4 linked regions of the Caenorhabditis elegans genome follow. The protein of the gene in region 1 interacts with the protein of each later gene in a pairwise test. Each region holds a gene or a part of one and is shown in the gene's direction. Other genes may lie near its edges. The genes, in order: par-3, dnc-2, sas-5 and spk-1.

What was found.
Region 2: the proteins of par-3 (region 1) and dnc-2 interact in binary tests that used the Caenorhabditis elegans proteins (3 or more experiments, as listed by UniProt).
Region 3: the proteins of par-3 (region 1) and sas-5 interact in a two-hybrid assay, tested with the Caenorhabditis elegans proteins (one study listed by BioGRID).
Region 4: the proteins of par-3 (region 1) and spk-1 interact in a two-hybrid assay, tested with the Caenorhabditis elegans proteins (one study listed by BioGRID).

What each region holds. Positions count from the first base shown.
Region 1 is NC_003281.10:5,662,115-5,667,258, forward strand, and holds the start of par-3 (PDZ domain-containing protein), read left to right. Parts: upstream 1-2,118; 5' UTR 2,119-2,189; intron 2,190-2,247; 5' UTR 2,248-2,257; coding exon 2,258-2,425; intron 2,426-2,831; coding exon 2,832-2,921; intron 2,922-2,974; coding exon 2,975-3,037; intron 3,038-5,144. UniProt on the Caenorhabditis elegans protein: In cooperation with pkc-3, required for establishing cell polarity and regulating spindle orientation in the early embryo. Localization is crucial for recruiting par-6 and pkc-3 to the peripheral apical cortex and restricting par-2 to basolateral surfaces.
Region 2 is NC_003281.10:5,923,835-5,927,945, reverse strand, and holds dnc-2 (putative dynactin subunit 2), read left to right. Parts: upstream 1-2,191; 5' UTR 2,192-2,214; coding exon 2,215-2,322; intron 2,323-2,379; coding exon 2,380-2,446; intron 2,447-2,491; coding exon 2,492-2,906; intron 2,907-2,956; coding exon 2,957-3,284; intron 3,285-3,340; coding exon 3,341-3,418; 3' UTR 3,419-3,548; downstream 3,549-4,111. Other genes in the region: zmp-1 (Matrix metalloproteinase-A), read left to right, coding at 1-162, 566-920; bcl-7 (BCL7-like protein), read right to left, coding at 1,151-1,434, 1,657-1,747, 1,795-1,860; C28H8.2 (uncharacterized protein), read right to left, coding at 3,549-3,602, 3,648-4,016.
Region 3 is NC_003283.11:11,608,799-11,613,250, forward strand, and holds sas-5 (Spindle assembly abnormal protein 5), read left to right. Parts: upstream 1-1,938; 5' UTR 1,939-1,980; coding exon 1,981-2,032; intron 2,033-2,075; coding exon 2,076-2,332; intron 2,333-2,384; coding exon 2,385-2,604; intron 2,605-2,656; coding exon 2,657-2,760; intron 2,761-2,806; coding exon 2,807-2,932; intron 2,933-2,975; coding exon 2,976-3,162; intron 3,163-3,408; coding exon 3,409-3,677; 3' UTR 3,678-3,798; downstream 3,799-4,452. Other genes in the region: piit-1 (BPTI/Kunitz inhibitor domain-containing protein), read right to left, coding at 441-637, 687-803, 853-1,120, 1,250-1,270.
Region 4 is NC_003281.10:9,455,700-9,463,643, forward strand, and holds spk-1 (Serine/threonine-protein kinase spk-1), read left to right. Parts: upstream 1-1,828; 5' UTR 1,829-2,284; coding exon 2,285-3,324; intron 3,325-3,401; coding exon 3,402-3,516; intron 3,517-3,569; coding exon 3,570-3,818; intron 3,819-3,924; coding exon 3,925-4,233; intron 4,234-4,284; coding exon 4,285-4,524; intron 4,525-4,818; coding exon of another isoform or gene 4,819-4,995; intron 4,996-5,366; coding exon 5,367-5,447; intron 5,448-5,493; coding exon 5,494-6,216; intron 6,217-6,263; coding exon 6,264-6,364; intron 6,365-6,407; coding exon 6,408-6,561; 3' UTR 6,562-7,308; downstream 7,309-7,944. Other genes in the region: rheb-1 (GTP-binding protein Rheb homolog 1), read right to left, coding at 1-111, 238-310; B0464.6 (uncharacterized protein), read right to left, coding at 7,422-7,625, 7,683-7,776, 7,896-7,944. UniProt on the Caenorhabditis elegans protein: Required for embryogenesis and germline development in both adult hermaphrodites and males. SR-protein kinase (SRPK) that binds directly to and phosphorylates the RS domain of rsp-3/CeSF2 in vitro.

The sequences.
Region 1 (5,144 bases):
TAACCTTCTTATCCTTTACTCATCCTTGTGTGTTCTCACATGCTTTCTCATTCGTGAATTGGAAGAATCCCACAGTTTTCCACATTCGGAATGCAATTCAACTTTTTTTTGTGTCATGATTATTGCCGTCATCATCATCACCCGCCCGCTAAGGCCCCTTTCACAAATAACGAACGGTTTGGTGTTGTGGCCCATAAAAGTACCGAGCAAGGTCAGTCGGCGAAGAGAGGAGAGACGGTGTTATTCATGCATACCTCTACACAAATAGTGTCTCGGTCAATCGGACCTATGAGTCTCATTGACATTAAGTTGAGGTATGAACGTCGATGGCAATACCTCGCCTGCTCTTTTTTTTTCGATAAAAGGCAATTAAAAATATCTTTCTTGTAGATTTTTAAACTTTCGGAAAAGCAATCGTAGAAAAGTGCAAAAAGTTGATTGTTCAGTTTGAGCTTTTCCATTCAGGCTCTCCGAGCATTTGACAAGCCGCGCGAGCTCCGCTGGTAACTCACTGTTTTTCTAATATCCAATCGCGCACCGCTGCGCCAATCTCTGTTCATTTCGTCGTTTGCCAGCTCAACTAATAGTCGGGACAGCACCCACTTCATATAACTTATTGACACGACTATAATTTGTCATTTTGCTTCTCCAATCCATCTCATGAAATATGTGTGTCGTGGCGTCAAGTTGGCATATGCAATGAGGTGATGGCTCTCTAACTCTTGTGCAATACAGCTGGTGCGCACTGACTCAACCTTCTCTTTTTTGACATTTTACATTAGGAAAATGCCAATCAGAAAGTGTAATGGTACACAATATGTGACCTATAGTCGGTTTTAGTTTATTTTACGCCGAAAATACGGTACCCGGTCTCGACACGACAAACTGTTGTTAAATGCGAAAAGGGTTGCGCCTTTAAGGAGTACTGTAATTTCAAACTTTCGTTGCTCAAGAATTTTCATTGAATTTTCATAGCGTTCCCCACATATATGTATTTAACAAAACATTTTCGTATCGTATTTTTGGAAAAACGCAAAATTCCGCGTCTGATTTTAAATCACAAACCGACAATAAGGTTTTCCGAATCCAAGAAAAATTGAATTTTCCCCAAAAAGTAGAGCAATTTATTTTCAAGTCTTTCCTGTTTTTTTACAAATCCATCCCAGCACAACTCGGTGTTCTTCCAAAAACTCGTCTCCTCCAACATGCTCATTATAATGGATCATCATCTTCTCTAGAGGATCCTCTGTGTGACTTCTCCACTTGACAAATTGCCCAAGTGGAAATAAAATAGGCACATTTGGAAATCCTTGGTGAGCACTGAGAGAGAAAATAGAGTAGAGAGAATCCAAAAATGTAATTGGATAACCACCTTCCTCCCGTTCTGTCTTCCAGAAATGTCCTCCCATTTTCCCAGCAAAGGTTTCATTGTTTGTTTTGATATCAAAAATTCATTTATTATTTAGCTATGCGATGAGCAATGCGATGACTGCGAATTCAGTTTTAAGGCCGCTTTTTCTTAAATAAAATTTAAAAAAATTTGTAGACTTGTGAAATTGAGAAATACAGTAATCATTTTTCGGAACAGATGGGTACGGTACGCATTCGCGGCGAGACCTATCGCATGGCGGGAAATTTTTTTTGAAAATTAAAATCTGCAAAAACTTCAAATTTTTAGATTGTCTATTGATTTATGTGCGATATTTTGAGTTTTTTCTCATTCCGTCAACTAATTCTCGTCCAGAAGATCAATTAAGCTATTCAGATCTTGAAAACACGAAAAAATCCGATTGAAATCGGAAATCGGGCCGATTTTTTTCAGAATATTGTTTTTCGAGCTGAATTTGTCTGCGCAAAAACAAAACTTAAAACGCTGAATTTTTTGTATTACAGATTTGAAAACTCAAGAATAAAATCACTAAAAAGCTAATTTTTGTATCCTTTTAAAATTGGCGCGGGCAATTCGGACAAATTTTTAAGATTTTAATGTTTTCCCGCTAAATTCAAACTTTTTTCCATCGCTGAGCACACTAAATCATTTGCTCTTTCTCTCTTACTGTTACTTACTTCACAGACACACCAATCATTTTCTTATCACTCTAATATATATTTTCTTGCAGATAGAAAAGGTCTCGCAGAGCAAATAGGTGCGAAACGAGAGAGCCTCTCGGGAGGAGAAACGTTGATTGGTTTGTTAAAACTTCTTTTCATTTCATTTAATTTTTCTTTATATCTGCTCATTTTCAGATCGATCATCATGTCGGCTTCATCCACGTCATCATCTAGCACATCGTGTCCGGAAGGTGGCGAACCATCGGGAAGCTGTAAAAGCAGCGACGAGGGTGAATCGACACTGAAAAAACGAATGCAACAGTACGGAATTGCGAGTGGTTACGCGAATTCCTCAATATCTACACTTGATAGAGTGCGGAAGTTTTTTTTTCTTAAAAATTGGAGAAAAAATCTTGAATTATCTTTCATTCACGCTTCAGAAATCTTCAATTCAAACTGTCAACAGTTCTACCCGATTTTTGTTTCAAAAAAATGCTTGAACTGCTGAGAATTCCATTTCTGCAAATTTTCATACTGCAAAAATGCGCATTTTAAAATGATTTTGTAAATTCAAATTTTTAAGTCAAAATCCGAATTTTGTACACATTCTATTTTTGAGTTGGAAAGTTTAAGATCCTTTTCAAATTTGAAATTTCTGGCTTTTTCGATTATAACACCGAAATCTGGAATTATTTTTTACTTTAAAAAATGTGAAATCCATTGAATATTTGAAACCTTGGTTGTAATTTATAATTATAAGCAATATTTTAATTTTTCAGAGCCAATATCAATCGCTTCCACTGAATGGAACTCGCCGAGTCACTGTTCAATTTGGACGAATGAAAATTGTGGTACCATGGAAGGAATCGGTGAGCTTTTTTTTCAAATGTTCAATCAATTTTTTAATATTTTTCTTGTTCAGGATCAGACAGTTGGTCAACTAGCAGACGCAGCACTTCTTCGGTACAAAAAAGCGAGGGGAATGGTAATTTTTTTTCTCCAAAAATTTGCAGAAAAAAGGTCATTTTGGAGGCAAAAAAGCGTATCCCAAATTTTCCCATGAATACAGTCAGTCGGGAATAATGAAAGGAAAATCAACAAGAAGCACGCAATTTTATCTTCGTCTTATTCTCTTCCAATATTATTCCATTCCCGAAGAAGCAGCAGCCCCCTTTCGTTTTCTCGGAGAGGTTAATTCGGCTGAGAACAAGGCCGCACCGATGAGGATGTGTTGAATACCATTTCTCTGTTCATTTTCACCAAATAATCCCCTTCCTTTTCCGCTTTGGAGAAAAAGAAAGTTTGGAAGAGACGCAGACAGTGTTACAGTGTGTTGTTGGCACACAACACTGTAAATAATAGATATTTCTTCATTCTCTCTCATAAGTGACTGTCAAAAAGTTTTACTATTTTGTGGAGTTGAACTGTGGTGCTCTTGGATTTTTATTTAGTTACTCCTGATCTTCTCACTTTAAACATTAAGACTTAGTGGTTATCATCCCAATTTATATTTACTAAGCAGTAAAACATTTATCTTGATTGAATATCCAATGATCGCTTCATTTTCTTGAAAATCTCTACAAATTGAAGGCAATTTTCTCCTCTTGGACCACCAACCATAACTAGCGAATCCTAGCCAAAGAGGGATTAATTTCCAAAATGGATTCTGGTCGAATTTGACTTTAATCGGCGTACGCTGTGCGGCATGGAAATTCCGGAGGCCGTCGCCTCGTCCCGATTGGATTTTGCAATTTGCAATAAACGGATTGATTTCGACGCGCTTGGTAGATTTTTGTTTATATAACATGCATTGGTCTCTCACCATGTTCACTTCATGGCGGATTTTGTACGAATCTCTTCCCCCTCATCATCATCGTCGTCGATCATCATGCTTCCTGTTCGCGCAGGTTGTAGCATTCGTTTCGCAGTAAATTAAGTTTTCCGCTGTAGGCAGGCAGTTGATCTAAATAAATCTGATAAGAATTTATTCGAAGGCTTAAGATTTGTTATCTCTCTCTCTCTCTCTCTCTCAGTTTTGTTGATTTAGATTTATTTGACGTTGAGGACGATATAATCATTATCAGCAGCAACAACCAACTTGAAATTAATCAAATGGAATGTATAGTTGGACGTTGTGTAATAGGAGTACGAGTAGAAAGTGTGAGTCAATTGCAGAAATTAGTGTTTTGTTAGGAAGTTGGGCGCCAGTTTTAAACCCGCCGCCTACACTTTTGATATTACGATGAGCACGGTTCAAAGGCAGGAGTTTTTTTTTCAGCCGTATCAGACTTTATAAATTTTCCATTTACTAATTTGATCCAGTTTTTATGGTCATGTAACATGTAAAGCTGTGTTTAGTCCCAGCCGAAAAGAAAATTGAACAGAACTCAAAGTTTTCGTGTGACTAAAAAAATATGGTGAGTCACCTTGGAATGTTTTTGTTCGGTTTTGAATTTCAATTCAAAAATTGTGAACAACTTTGGCGTTATTCATAATTGTGGAAGTTTTGAATTTCAGTTGAAAAATGAAAATTGTGATGTGAAAACCTTGAATTATTGTTCCTTTCAAACTTATTGTATTTGACTCCAAAGGCCTCCGAATAGCTCCAGAACATGTGAATTGGCAGCACTTAAAGTTGTTCATCTATCTCTATCTCTCTCTCCTCGCCATCATCGTGAAATAAAGCACCCCCTATTCTACATGCAATGTCATAACACTCATATCTCATGTTATCGCCATCCTCCGCTGCCACTACGAATCATCTGTTCTGAAAGCAGCTTTTTTTCGGGTGGTTTTTGTATTTTTCTTTACTGATAAACAGCTTGTGTTGTTGTTGTTCGCGACGAGAACAAATATCATGGACATTTTACCAACTATTGAGAAGATAAGAAGAAATGGTTAGGAATGATGTGTATATAGACATCTTCCCCTTTCTATCTCTCTTCCCTTCTCTTCCGAGTGTTTCTGTTTCTATTTGTCGTTCGATCTGATGATTGTCGTCATTTTTTCTCAGCCGCTCCTCTTCTTGATGCCCTTGCGCAACCCCACCGTGGCTTACTTGTTGGGGGGTCTTGGAGCGAAGAGCACACATA
Region 2 (4,111 bases), 260 kb from region 1:
GATTGATGCTGCCGTCACTGTTGGGCACAATCTTTGGGTTTTTGTTGGAGAAATGATTTATGTCATCTATGGAAATCACATGGTTCACGCACCTCTTCGACTTTCGGATATCGGAATTAATGAGAAATACGTGGATTTGGCTTATGAGTGGCATTATTTCAAGTGAGTAATCAAAGCAGTTAGTAAAAAATAAATATTGAGTAATGATAATTGTAGGTTCAGCGAAAATTCGAAAGTTCGTAAACTTGAAAAATCGTTACTTTTTAACATATTTGTTTCAAGTTTGAAATGTTACCAAAACGTAACACATTGCTAATCAAAAATACTCGGGTCTTGGCACGAACGAAACTTTTCAGATATCGTACCCGCGATCGTTTAGCAGCTTTTCACCGATTTACTTTGATACTTTGAAAGATTATCTTGGTGTTTAAAAAAAACATTTATTTAAATATTTCCAAAAAGACGGTACATAATACATTTTGAGAAACTACTCTGAGGGTACGGTAGCTGAAAAGGTTCGTTCAGGACCACAACTTAATAAAATCAAATATAATTTCCATTTCAGTCCGCCTGCTGTATACATTTGGAAAGGATCTCGATATTGGAAATTAGACGAGAAAATGTATCATCGAAGAGTTGATGAAAGGTATCCAAAAGATACTGATCTGAATTGGGCGAGAGTTCCAAAAGGAGTACATTCTGCCTTCACTTATGAAAAAGAAATTCATCTTCTACGTGGAAATCAAGTTTTTCGAATGAATTCATCCCGATCTGTATTTGATATTGCTGATGGATATCCCCAACCTTTACAATCTTTTTTCGGATTCTGCCCTCGCAATGAGAAGCTTGTTCTGAATTCTTCTTCTTCACATTTTTCTTTGATCTATGCAACAATTACTATTTTGATACTCATCTTTTAAGATTTAAATCTCTCAATGGCAGATTCACTTGTAAAAACAGCACTGAAATGGGTTTTATTTAAAGTTTTAACTTGTTATTTTAACTGGTGAATACAAAAAATTATTAAAAATAAATGTGATGAAACATGAAAATTTTTGAATTAATGAGATAAAGTTCGGAATGAATCAGGATTATATGATACAACATGAAATCAAAATGAGTACAGATTAGAGATCATTAGATAAAGATTTTATGGTTGTTTTGATGTCATTTCAGCGTCGCGCATCGAACTGAAATCCGTTGAACCAGTGGCTCCACCTTGATAGTTTTGTGGCTCGAAAGTTTGATTGGAGTCACTATCAAAGTGATCGCCAGTGGAAAAATTGGAATCTTCGTTGATATCGAATTGTGGTGGTGGTTGGGTAACGCTGGTGGAATCCTGGGAATTCTCAGCAGATGGGACTTGATTGCTCTCCTCATCCACTTCTTTGACTTCCTTGATCTTTGGAGGAGCCATTATGTTTTGAGCGCTCACTGAAAAAGTTGTATTGAAAGTTTGGTTTTTTTTTTGAGAAATTCAAAACTTTTATATAGCAGAATATGTTATTAATTCATAATGCAGAGTCATTGAATTGTATCAAAAATATAAGTGTGAAGTTTTTTTTTTAATAATTACTATTTTAAAAAAGTATTTCATATAAATTTATATATAAATAGTTTCTAAATACCGAAATACGTGTTAAAATAAAAAATTACCCGGAACCCATTTGTAGATCCGAATATTTGTGTCCTTGATAAGAACTAACTTCTTTTCCCACCGACGAACTTTTTCCAATGAGTTGATAACCTGAAAATCTTAATATCAGTTTAGTTTTGGAAAAGTTGATTGTTTACCTTTCGGAGTTCATCTTTTGAGCGATTTCTTGTTTCAGCGCGATGAGATCTATTTGCTGAGTACATCTGAAACTTAAAAATTTAATAAATTTACAGAAAAATAAATAAAAAGAACGAAATACAATAAAACTGTTTAAATTCGAACAATCGAACGTTTTTGCCAAAACTGAACTCTGTCGCCTCTAATCTCTAATACGTGCCGGTAGAGCGCAGTAACTCATTGTTGTGTGTAGTCCTCTCGGACAATCTAATTTACTTGTTTCGCAATCAATTCCACGGCCATTTTGATGTTTCTAGCACGATTTATTACTTTAACCTATCATACATTTTGTTTATTCATTTTTCTAAATTTTTGCCGTTTGATCCTAAATATTTTAAATCAAATTCTGTTTTCTAGAAACTCTCAAATCTTGCGTCAAAATGTCATCTATTGGAAAAGAAGATATCTACGAGTCTGACGGAGCTGCAAGTCAAGTTCAAAAAAGTGAACCTGAAAATGACAATCCAACTCATCCGGATATCGAACTGGTTTGTATTTAATTAATTTAAATAATATAAATATTTAGTGAATTCTGATTTTTACAGATTTCGGTTGACGTTGACGAAGCTCTCAAAAAGTACAAAAACCGGGTACTGAACTTGACTTCAAGCGGTAATTTTAAAATAATATTACTTATCATCTTTTTTTTAAATTTAGATTTTTCTGACTCGATTGCTAAAAAGCGGCGACACGCATTTGGAAACAATCAATACGTATTGGAAGTTACTGGTGCAGGATTTTCGGGAACCGAGACTGCAGCCGAAAAACTGAATCGCATTTTGTACGAAGTCGCCGATCTGAATGAACAAATTCGTGCTGATGAAAATCTTAAAACGGATTTGCTCAACGCTGAGGTTCTTGAGAATCTAGAGAAAGAAGTGAAAACGTTGCAAGTGGCTCAGTCAAATGGAAAAACTGCACGAGTTGAGCATGATGTTGAGTTACCAAATGTTCGCACTGACTCGAAAGTGGCAACTCTTGAAAATAGGTTGAGAAGAATCGAACAAGTTATTGGAAGTTCGGTTATTCCATCAGCTCCCGTACTTGACACCATTGAAGATCTCAAACTCAGGTGAGATATCTTAAATTTAAAAAAATAAAAACGTATGAAAAATGTTTGAGATGCGAAACGCTTAATCATTCGTATGTCTCCGGTCTTGAACAACGTTTGAATATGATGCTTACCAAACTTGAAAAAATCGACGAGACACGCGCCAACAATGATATCGACGAGAATCTTGACAAGAAAGTTGATGAAATTCTGGAGCTTATGCAAAAATGGGATGTCGCTTGCTCATCTCTTCCAAGCAATGTTAATAAGGTTAAAGCATTGAACCGTCTTCACGAACAAGTTCAACACTTTGCCGGTGGACTATCACATTTGAAAACTATCAGAGAAAAACTCGAAAAGGAAGTCGCGCAAGGAAGAGAAGCGATTATCGAGTATGAGGTGTGTTTTTTAATTGTTTCGAGGAATATAAACAAATTAAATTATTGAAATTACAGTCCCAAGGAAAGCAAGAAATCGGGTCAGTGGTTGAAAAGCTGAAGCTTCTCGAGGCAAAAGTGGCAGATTTGAAGTGATTTTATCGACCTTTCTAGAGAAACAATTCATAATTTATTGTGTACGGACAATGCAACATTAACTAATCTGTTCGATATATTTATGTGCTTTATTTTTGCTTTCCATATTTCCGAATGAACCAATCTCTATTCAGCAATTGAAGGCCATACTCAGATAACGAACTCCCCATCCGACATTCTCGTCCTGAAATTTTCATATTTCTAAGTCAGATTTTTCGCGAAAACTCACATTAACCGCTCTGATAATCATATGAAAATGATCTTCGAATCCAAACCAAGATTGTGATGTAACATGGAATTCAACCGTCATATGAGAAGAATCTTTAGTCATTATTGCAAAGATAATACGAATTTCAGGATTGTAATGAGTTCTTGTATATCTATCGAAATATGATTTAAATCTGGCAAAATCCAATTCCTCTTGAATATGACAATCAGTTCCTTTTACTTGATCATCATAATAATTGAAATGCTCAATCATTTCTGTTTTATTTCGGAACATTCGTCGAAAAGTTCCCATGAAATATTGCAAGAAGTGAAAAGCATTTTTAGTTCTCACCATCTTCGGGAACATTGATCGTGGGTCACTGATAAAGTTCTGAAATATTTCGGTTGGTCCCGACATGAAAACTCAAGTCTTGATAAATTTCCACAATCTGCTAAATAAAGAATTCGCTAATTTGAGCAAAAAAA
Region 3 (4,452 bases), on another chromosome or scaffold:
TACTGGTTATAGATGTGAGTTTGATATTATAGGTGTGGGTCGCAATACTATTAGAGAAAATGGGGTATTATTTTTAGTGATAGATTTTACTTTAAACTAGGGCTGAATAATAAACGAACCTGGTTGTACTTTGATTGAAAACCATACTCTTGACATGGAGACAAATTACAGGATAAATATAACTGAAGTTTTGTAGTTCCCAAAAGGAAAAACGTTGCCTTAATGTATATAAATTATTATTTTTGCATCACATTCAAAATTATTTTTTAGATTATATAAAAAATATTTAAAAGAAATGAGATAAAAATTGTTTATGAGTGGATGATAATACAGTTAAATCATACTTTGAAAATTACCCGAAAAAAAACTACAAAAATGCCAACTCTTAAAAATAACTTGTTTTTCATAATACAGATAATTCCAGGAATTCAAATATCGTCTTATTGGGAAGTTCTTGTTTGATTTCCACAGGTTGCCATACATGAGTTGTAGTTGGGGAAGTTGTTGGCATTTCCGAGAGTTCCATAGAATGAGAAACGCATGCAAGTTGTGTATTTTGGAACCCAGAAGTATTTGTCACTTTTCTCTCCTCCGACAGCAAACTTTCCAGAGTCATATGTCAAGTTGCAAAGATAGTCTGTGAATTTGAAATTTAAGAATAAAACATTTAAACATTTGATGCTTACTGGATGTTGGACAACAGAATGATTGAATACAGTTATGACCCTGTGGGCAAGTATTAGCTCCTGCTGAGCATCTCACTGGTGTCAAGTGGTCAGTGTCATAGGTAGCAGAGCAAGCAGCTTAAAATTTTTAGAATAATTGCCATAGTTACTAGCTAACCTCACTTACACTTCATTTGAACGGTTTCATCACTTGACTCCGAGTCTCTTTGAGCTTGAGCATTGGTACAAGCTGATCTACACTCTTGTGCACTACTGAACCGGTTACTATTACCACCACATCCCTGATACATGAATGGTTGACACGTTCCAAGTCTTGGAAGATAATAGAACATTCTAGAAGAACTGTTCTCAGCGCAAGTATTTCCAGAGTCCCGTGCAGCAAAACAGTCAACAGAAGTCGATTGAGCCGCAGTGAAAGACAATAGGGAGAGAATCTAAATAATAATTACATTTAAATTAACTGAAAGTCGTATGTAGATCTAAAGTAGATCTATTTCTGGATTTAGTAGTTTTTAATTTAACTAAGTTTCAAACCTCATAATTAAAAGGATTTTAAAACTCACCACAGCCAATCTAAGTGCCATTTTAGTTTTGCCACGTGAAAATGTTGTACTCGAGTTCTGGATTTCTTTTAAATAGGCCATCGAGATTCCCGCCCCTTTAAACTATTGTACTGGCAATCGTGTAAGCTCTTGCTACCGTGCAACACCACCAACAGTCAAATCCAAATTCCAGTTTTGATCTGACCCCACGGAGCAAACATTGTGTGTATAATGTACATATACTGTTGGCTCCTTCGCACTGACTTTTTTACCACGCTGATTTATTTTGAGACACTTTTTCTGTGTCTCGCTGTCTATCTGTGTACAGAGGAAAAATTTTCTCGGAATTTTTAGAAAACCAGTCGGGAGTGTTTACTTGTTTTTTAATACTTTTAATACATTGGAAAATTGTGTAGGTTGAGAAGATTTTTTGTTTGAAAATCTGTCAATCTAAATTTGTTCAACTGATCAGGAACATTCTTCTAAATTGCAGATAATATGAGAAAGTAGAAAATTCTGTTGTTTTATAATAATATCATTTAATTTAATTACAATCTTCTTTCGTCCCCGAATGGTCATGCGAAAAGAAATGTGAGAAAATATACAATGTGCGCGCTCATCTTGCAAAAAATGTGCGCGGGGGTTGCAGCAGAGGCCACGCCCCCGCGACACCAACGCGCCAATTTTAAAGAAAAAACGTTTTATTTTCCAATTTCATAGTTTTAACAGAAATGACCTCGCATTAAGCGGGAATGAATAATTACGACGACTTACCCTGCTCTATTTACTTCAAAAAACCAACTGGTGAGTTGTTTTCGATATAAAAGTGTTAAAATTGCCAATTTAGTCCAGGAGTTTGTGGATCAACCGAGAGTCTTCGAAGATTCTGAAGTCCCTGCCTTTCAAGAAGTTCTTCAGCTTCCACAAGAAAGGACAAAACCCCCAGTACCATCTACGCAGCCAATTGTCGCCGCTGTAGAAGTAGCCAAGAAAAAATCGTGTCTTTCGGCTCCGAAACCAAGAAAAGAGCCACCTTCGCATCCAGCGCTTCGCCAAAAAACAGTTGCGTTTGGAAAAACAGTTAACGTTTCCCAAACTGTCGAGGTAATTAAATTAAAATTGTTCCATGGCATAATTCCACTAAATTATCTTTCAGGGAACATCTCGGAATTCAAAAAAAGTGCTTGCTTCAACAATGTCTGCCCAAAATACGACAACGACTGAAGAACAGGCAGCTGAAAACTGGCGGGACGCTATGAAAACAGAACTGCAAACGATACGAACAGAGATTCAAGAAGAAACGGCCCGGCGACAAGAAGAGCTCAATGCTCAAAATCTTGTTAAAATGCAAGAATTGATGTCAAACTTCTTTCAGAGTATGTTTGAATATATATTATCCCATAAATTCAATAAATAATAATTTTTCAGAGATAACGATTCCTAAACAGCAAGCGATCGAACCAGTTGAAAAAGACAAAGAAAATTTTCATGAGAGTCCTCGTCAATCAAGACAGCAGAAGCCAGCTAGTAAAGTGAGAATTCAGATAAAAAATAAATCAAAAAGTACTCCGTTTTAAGATCGCTTCGGCACGAGAAGTTATCAAAAGAGACGGTGTTATACCTCCAGAAGCATTAACAATTATTGAGCAACGCCTTCGCTCGGACCCAATGTTTCGCCAACAAATTGATAATGTTCTAGCAGACGTGAGTAGTGTATTTAAATCCGATAGAAATAGTTTGTTTTCAGGCTGAATGTGATGCTAACAGAGCTGCATATTCTCCACCACCACCAATGTCTGAAGTTAGATACGGATCTGGTGTGAATCCTGCTTTGATGAGAGAAACACTTACGGTAGAACGAAGTATTCGATATGACAACGGACTCGCTTCTATTGATTCTAGACAGTGGACAAATGAGAGACGTGATAATCGTGGTAATTTAATTTTTCAATATTCAAACACAGAATTCGTCCGCTAGAATTGTATAAATATAATAATTCACGCATTCCAAAATGTATCAAATAATTCATTAAAAATGTTTGAAAGTTGATAACCATTCGTAGTGAAAACACTTTATACTACGAAATGATTTTAAGATGAAATCCTCAAATCAGTTGAAAAATTTGAATTAAAAGTCAAAAATGAGAAGTCTCTTCACTATTCAAAAAAACCTTTTCTAGCTCCTGACTCATACCGTACCTACGAACCGGATCAACCATGTCACTCACTCTATCAAAAGGGTCAAAGTATTAGCTATTATCCGTCAGAAGCAGCTGGAAAAACGACAGCTAGAAACAATCGAACTGGATACTACGTGGAAGATTCATCAGATCATGAAGAGGATGTTGTAGTCAATAAACGGGGACAGAACTATCACGAGCAAGCGGTACCTGAGACTCCAGCTGAACGAGAACGCCGTATTCGTGAAAAATACGCTCGCAGGAAATGATATCAAATGTGTTTAACTCTTGACGTTTTAAAATTATCATTAATCACTACGTGTAATGTCTGTGAATTGTACTAAAACCATTACTTCCAGCTGTGACCTGAATAAATTTTGAATTTCATCGATTCTTTCTCATTTGATCATATGATCGAGATAGTCTCGAACTTAATTCGATTTTCAGCACTTCACACTTCTGTCATTGTTTGACAAGTACCAACTTGACCTTTCCATCGGTCTCCTTCAAGAGTTTCATTTGTGTACGAAATAAAAATGAAAATTCTAGTAGTGTACGTGTTAATTGGAGAAGTTCTACGAATTTTTAAACTACAAGTTCATAACTTTTAAAACAAACTGTTATGGCATGTACACATGTGTTCCTGTATTAAAACACTTGCTGTCTTCAGACTTTCCAATTGAAAAGATACACTTTCACTTGATTTTCCATATGCAAGCAAGCGTTTTGAACTATCACTACCTTTCTCTATTTTTGATTTCTCTTCCTGTTGACTTTTGCACCCGAATTTTTTGAATTTCTTTTGTCAAAATCTAGTAAATATTGACATTGATTATTTATAGAGAGTAGGTGGAAAATTAGAAAATATAAAAGATTAGGTGTGTCTTGTTCATCTTTGCAAATTTGTTTTTTGGCATTTTCAAAAAGTTCGAGAGAGCACCCAGATGTTTGGACTTCAACTGTTCCATTGTACTCTCCCCATTTATAAACTCTGCGATTTTTCCCATTTCTCTCTAAACACTGATACCACAGTTTTATCAGGAT
Region 4 (7,944 bases), 3.8 Mb from region 1:
GATAGTCCCTGTGAAACGCTGCTATGTGCTTCGAATGTTGATCCTCAATTGTTGATTCATACCTTTCAGGGAAAATATTTTGTGTGAAACGAAGTACCAACGCCGATTTTCCTGTAAAGTTTCTCAACGTGAATGTCCTTGTTTAAATAAAGTTGTTTTAATTTTTTCATTGCTTTGTTCAATTTTGCTCCCGGTATGTTTGATTTTCTACAAAAAAAAGTTGTCGTAAACGCTCACCAACATGAGGATATCCCATAACGGCCACTTTTCGATTCAGACTCTGACGATTTGATTGCAGCGAACTGCTCATCTTCACAAAAATGAGTATATTCTGAATATTGAATGATTGAGTTTTGATAGAAGTATAAAAAATTAATAAATAAAATAAAAAGGGAAAAGTAAAAAAATTATTTTTTTAAACACTCATCATTATTTTTAAATTCTCTATTAATATTTAACATGTAGAAACAAAGAAATGATGTACTTTTGCAATAATATGCGCTTTTTTCCTGATAAAACGAACTAAAAACCAACTGTAAATAGAGAATTGCAGGCGAGAGAGCGTGTGAAAATAAGAGACGGAGGCGCATGATACACTTCTTGGCAGCAAGCCAAACCCACCGTACCCAAGCAAACCTGCAGATCAAACTCGAGATCGATATTTCTGGCGCAAAACGGCCGCCAATTTGAGCCCTCCGCGTTGAAAGCGTTATTATCATTCGAAATTGGCATAGGTCTTATCAAGAATTATATTTTATGTTTGTACGGGCAGATATAATCTTTTTATCATCATTTTTGTTGTTCAATTAACCTCCGCAAACTTTTAAAAACTCAAAAACATTTTCCTCTGAAGTGTTTTCTTGTTTTCCCCGAATTTTGATGAGTCCTATTTTATTTATTTGTATCAATTTCAGTGAAACGAACCGTGTTTAAGTGTAGAATATGGGCGGACCAGAAAAAAACAGCACAGTACCACTGCCAAATAAGAAAAGGAAGAAGAAGACCAATAAGAAAAAGGTGAGCATTTTTCGGTTTCTGTTCAGAAGTTTTCCCTTTTTCTAAACACTTACACTTTCGAAAAATTAAAGCTCAGTCTGTTCTGACACTAAATCGAACCCAAAGAATACTCTTTTTTTCTAATGGCCTCTAGAGATTTGAAAACTTCAAACAGCTCTGTCGCATTCCCTTCATTTCACGCACTTCCGAGCTTACTCTCTTGGATGCGAGCCCTCCACTAATATATTCTCACATCAGTTTTAACTTAGATTTCTCCTTTGCCTCAAGTAAAATGAGAACGGCTTCATTATGAGCCAGTGGCAGCCGCTAATGACCCAGGGGTAGAGATAACCACTAATTTTCTTTTCTTACACTAGTTTTAAAACAAAACAAAGTGAAAATTTATGAGCATGCTTAGTATTTTGCATTCAATACATTGGCTATATCGCCGATTGAATGTGAGTTTAATAGAATTCTGCCATTAAGCTTTTTTAATCTTCATATTTCAGCCCACAGCACCAAACACGCCTACATCTCCTCAAGCGGGTGAGAAAAACGCAAATTTGAAAAATGGAACAGTTACAACAAACGGATCAAATCACGTGGAAAGGTGAGATTTTGAGTTTTTTTTTTTAATATGCTTTAATTACATCGCTGAAACCGGGACCAAAATGATTATAAGTTGTTTGGTGTAATCGTTGCATCGTCCTTTTCTCATGACAGCAACTGGTTGTCTTTTCACTTCGTCTCAAATGATCCCACCTTCGTGTGTCCGTCATCCATCCACCCATCCATCCATTCGTCCCTTCTTTTCTATCTTCTCTATTCCTTCACCTTGGCCTTTTCTCTCTGTCAGCTGTCTCCTCTTCGCGACCTGGCCGACAAGTTGAAGATTGAAACAAGGAAGAGAGACCCAGGATTTCCTCTATCTCTTGTTGGGCGCCGCAATCATTACATCACTATCACTTGAACACTCTTCCTTCTCACACCGATCGCGTTTTCTTCAAGTCGCTCCTCGCGCCTCGTTGGCCGCCGCCAATATTCTCGAGACACTTCTCGCGCCGCTGATCTTCCTTATCCCCCTTCCCACTCTCAAAGCGTCGCAACTCGCTTCTACGTGGTCGCTATTTCAAAAAAAATCGCCTGCTTTTGAATCCAGTTTTCTTCTGTCAGGCTGGCCGGTCGAGCAGTACATTCGCTCTCAGCTATCGATTACTCGGGTATAACAAATGATGTCGAAGCAGGCGGCTCCTTCAGCTTAACTGACGTTTTCCCCACTGTCATATTCATGTTTGTGGTTCTATTCTGTAGATGGCTCAATGGCTTCAGCCAGCATCGAGAACGACTTTATAAATTCGAAGATGAAGCCGTTCAGAGACGCCGCCGTTTTCGTGTTCATTCAGAGGAATCGGAAGAACTGAATGACCACGAATCGTATTCTGAAACTGATATTTGTACACAGCTTTTGGCATCATCTGCAGACGTAACCTGTCATATAAATGTTGATTTGGTCAACCAGAATCGATTTTATTTCTTTGTAAAGCAAAGAAATAAAAAAGAAAATTCGACCAATGAAGAAGAAGAAATCTCTTCCCAAGAAATAAATACGAGTACACAAAATGAAGAGACAGAAGTTAATTTAGTGTTCGCTAGTGCGGAAGATAATGGAGGCGTCGCGTCGAATTTCGATATATCAGACGCTCTAATGGTTACCTCTAACATTTCCGAAGTCAGTAAACTACCGGAAACGTTGTGCGAAGAGGGTGAAACTGTACAACAAAAAAGTGTTGTAAATGAGAATGATCATTCGAATGAGGACGATGAACAGTCGCTACAATCACAAGATGGTTCAAGATGCTCTGATGAAGACATGAACTCTTGCGTATCTGCCTCAGATGAAGAGGACGTTGAATCTCAAGATGATTCTTTTCATGTGAATGATGCTACCGAAGAATCAATTGATTCGGTAAGCTCTATTGAATCACAAGAAGCAGAAGAGTCAGCAACTGAAGATTTGGCGTCGTGTCATTCGAACGACGATAAAAATGAAAAAGATGTTCTTGTCGATGAGGACACATCCAAATACGATAACCTTCCGGTGGAAATGCGGTCAGCAAAAGAGGGTGAAGAGAGTGAAGGGACGATCGATTCTTCAGTCTCCTCGTCGACATCGTCTTCCTCAACGGGCGACGACGGGGACGACAGTGCTACCTCTTACGACTCAGAAGATATCGAAATTCAGATGTTCGAGTATGATCTGGGAACCGCATGCGCTTCAGCTTCTATTTCTATTCCTCGTCCATCTATAATTCCAAGAAATAACAAAAAGTAACATTTATTTTCCATTAACTAAATTAGTATTACTAATATCAATCAGAAACTGTCTTTTAATTTACATTTTTCAGGACCGAAGTCAATGCTAATGAAGAGCGTTTGGACGATTTAAGTGTGAGCCCCGGACGAAGTGATTCTCCTGGAGGCGGCGGTGGTGGACATTCAGATTCATTCCAAGATCCAATGGTGAGTTGATTTTTGCATTTCATTTTTTTGTATTTATACATATTTATTTTCAGGATCCTGGAGAACAACTTGGATCTGACGATGAAGAACAAGAAGATCCACGTGATTACAAACGAGGTGGATATCATCCAGTCAACATTGGTGATGTATTCAATGCGAGATATCATGTGATTCGTAAACTTGGATGGGGTCACTTTTCTACGGTTTGGCTGGCGTGGGACACTCAAGACAAACGATTTGTTGCCATGAAAATAGTGAAGTCAGCGGAGCATTACACGGAAGCGGCTCTTGATGAAATTAAGGTTAGTTTTGAAGTAACGTAGTGCTGAAACAATAGATTTTTATGCAACATTCTCTGAGACTCGAGAAAAAAAAATTAAGACTAATATAAAACGAGAATAATTTCAGTTGTTGCTATCCGTACGAAGTGCTGATCCAAATGACATCGGATGCCACAAGGTTGTTCAATTGCTCGATGAATTCACTGTTACGGGAATTAATGGTCAGCACGTTGCTATGGTGTTTGAAGTTCTTGGGTGCAATCTGTTAAAGCTGATTATACGCTCAAATTATCGAGGACTTCATCTGGAACAAGTTAGGAAAATATGCAGACAAGTTCTGGAGGCGTTAGGATATATGCATGAAAAGTGCGGCATCATTCATACTGATATTAAACCTGAAAATGTGCTAATCACGATGAGCCGAGAAGAGATCAAGGTATTTTTTAAAAACCATTAATTGTGGAATTAATTTTTCAAAATTTTACAGATTATGGCTCAACATGCTGTAGTTGCCCGGAAGATGAATATGAAAATGAGTGGATCGGCTGTCAGTACTGCACCGGATCATTTGGTGAAAATGGCTCAGGAGAATATGACGAAAAACAAGAAGAAAAAGATGAAGAAGAAGGCCAAAAAACAACGAGAGAAGTTGGAAGCGGAATTGGCTGGACTCGAAGGCCTCAAAATGGACGCTAATGGGCTGCAGGAGGCATACAATAATGCACCGGTAAGTTGAACACTATACCGTTCTTCTTCTAATAGTATTGCACCCCAATACTTGAATTTTTAAATTTGAAAGAATATATCTCTGTTCATTTCAAAGATATCATTTCACATTTTAATTTTGAAACGATAGAAAAAGAAATAAAAAAGTATTTTCTTAGTTGACAAACATTGGAAAAGTTTCGATGTGCAATAATAATAGAGGAAATACGCTGGTAATTTTTAAAAAATCAAGATTATACTCTATCAATCATAATTTTTTAAAAAACGAAACAAAAACGATAAAACTGATATATAGCAAAATGGTGTCCGAATGCGTCCTCCATCTTTGCTCTTCAATGGTCCGATTCCCCAACTGCTTCAAGGCAGTTCTTGTGTGAATACGCCATCGTCTCCAAGAACGGTTCCACCGCCACCACCATCTCTCTATCCACAGGTTGGATGCGTCTGCAATCAGACGTATCATCTGACACAGGTGATCCTGAATGCGAATGTTGGTGTGAGTGTTTGGTTGTGTTGACATGATGATGGTTCCCTTCTACTCTCTCTTCCTCGATTCACACACTTATTTCCACTCTGCAACCAAAATTACCGGAAGACGCTTGTATATTCACACGTACCTCATTTCTCCTTCCGTTTCTTTATTTTAAAATTCACTGACTATTTAGTTTCGGTTTTTTTTGCCGCTGCGCCCTGGATGCCGTCTGCATTTTTTCGTCGTTTCGTCTTTGTTGCAGAAAATACATCAGTGCTGTATCTAATTTTTATCATATATAAGCTTAAACATGTTGTGAATTCAGTTTAGAAAAAAATCTGAATCAATTAATTTAATTTTTATTTTTTCAGGAGTTGGAGAACTTCAACGCTTCACAAGTGGAAGATGTCACCATGGAAGATACTGTCAATGAAAATGGAAACAGAAACAAGGTATGATATATTTCATTTTTGTAGCCACAACCATTTATATTTTCAGGTGGAAATCAGGAGCCCTGATCGTTTCGATAGAACCACGCTGACTCCATTCAGTGATCCGGAGAGCAAGTTTGGAGATTTGGCCTCACCATCCGCCGAATATCTGAGCTCGCCCATGAGCCAGTTGCCTCCAGGTGGTATCCTGCCTGCTCCTCCAGTTGGCCCCAACATTGGTGATCCATATTGTGACATCGACGTCAAAATCGCTGATCTCGGAAACGCGTGTTGGGTGAATCATCACTACACGGACGATATTCAAACTCGTCAGTATAGAGCACTTGAAGTGTTGATCGGTTCAGGATACGGACCTCCAGCTGATATTTGGAGTACCGCGTGTATGGCTTTTGAATTGGCAACCGGTGACTATTTGTTTGAACCACACCAAGGAGATAACTATTCACGCGATGAAGATCATCTTGCGCACATTTCCGAACTTCTTGGAGCAATTCCACCGTCAATTTACAAAAAGGGTAAACATTGGAGAGAGTTCTTCCACAAAAATGGACACTTACTTCACATTCACCAACTTAAACCATGGTCACTATACGAGGTTTTGAGACAAAAATACGAGTGGTCTCATGAAGACGCGCAGCAGTTTGAAAGTTTCCTTCGTCCGATGCTTGATTTCGATCAGGAGAAACGATCTACGGCCAAAATTGCATTGAAACATCCGTTCTTGTTACCATTTGGAGGAAGAGCGCCAAAATCTGATTGTCCACCTGAGGTTTTATATTAATTGTCTGTTCAATATTTTCTCTATAATTTTTACAGCTTCTGAGCAAGATGTTTCCGGATGGATTGATTCCCGAGCCGTTCGACGGAAATGAGCATCAGGAAGTTTACCGTGACGAAAATGATAGTAGATCGGCGAGGTTCGTAAGCTCGGACCGACGCGGATGTAAACGCAAATTGCAGCGAGAGGAGTGCCAATAGCAGGTCTGCGGGCGGCAGCGACGACGACGACGAGGAGGAGTTCAACATGAATCGACCTGGTCCATCGGGGGTGATAACAAACAATGAAACGACCGACATTTCTGACATTGAACGCTTTCAGCTGGATTTGCAGTAGTGCACGAATCCCTCCTGTTTGTTAACACTTCCATCACCGTCTCGTCACTCTTCAACGCCCTCTTGCACATCTCCCGAGTTAAACATGTTCTCCTGTCAATTTGACGATATTCATCTTTATGTTTTTCCTTTTTTCAATCAAATTTTACTCGTTTCTTGCCTACGATAGGTGAAAAGAAAACACTTCGGGCTAATTTTTTTTTTCAGCATTTTCCAATCTTTTGTTCCAGAGTGTTTACTTTTATGTTTTGAATCTAGACAGTGTTTAACTTATTGTTTCGGATTTCAACAATCATCCGACTACTTCATCTCCCCATTCTCCCTGTCACTTTCTACATCGAATCACCGCATCCTTTCTCTTTTTTACCACCGTTCTTCCTGAAGTGACTGAGCAGTAAGCACGTTTAGCGCCACTCTCGTGCGCGTCTCGTTGAAGCGCCTTTTGATCTTTAGTGCTACTGGTATAATATAATTATTTTGTACGAACATCGTCCTTATCCTCTGCCCAACAACATCATATGCTTCTATCAGCCTCAAACAGTAGATCATCTTTTCCCCCCATTTCTTTTTCATTTATATTCCTCCGTCTGTTCACATACCCAAACTATTTGGCATAAACCTTTCTCAAATCTTTACTGTGCTTCATTGCTTCCTTTCCCCTTCTCTCTCTCTCATTATCTCGGTTTCCTCGTAGACATAAATGATTGAATTTTGTAACGTTAGCGAGATAAAAAATAATTGATTCATGTGGGTGGTCGTCGAGAGATCGTAACAAAAGAACAACAAAACAAAGCGGGAGAAAATAAAAACCTGTTAAAGGATACGATAATAAACATCATATAAAAACTTGAATTGAATTTTTCACGCCAGGACGTATGTCATGTTAATTCCTGATGGTCCGATTGAGGTCTGATCCAGATATCCATGATTTTCATGTTTCACAAAATGAATAAATTGAGCGATAGCACGGAAGAGATTGGGTGATTGACGGAGAACGTTGCACTTAATTGCATATCCATTTTCATCAATGTGCACAAATTCAGCGTGTGGAGGAGATTTTGTAACCTGAAAAAACATTTCTTGAAGTGAGGAGGAACAAGAGTGAATTATTATAAGCCATACCATGTGAAGATAGAAACTGAATGGAGTACGTTGAGCAGATGATGGTTTTTGAGCATTTTTGACACAGAATCGGCTGGTGAATGGCTGGTCAAGGCTGAAAATTGATTTAATTTTTAACACAATTTATTGAATTAAACGTTAAAACAGGATTATAAAAGTATACTTTTTTCAGATTAACTGAAATCTAATATATTCCAGAAAACAATTACTAACCGACTATCTCCAACGAGACAATTGGAATTGAGTTGAGCATCCATATAAG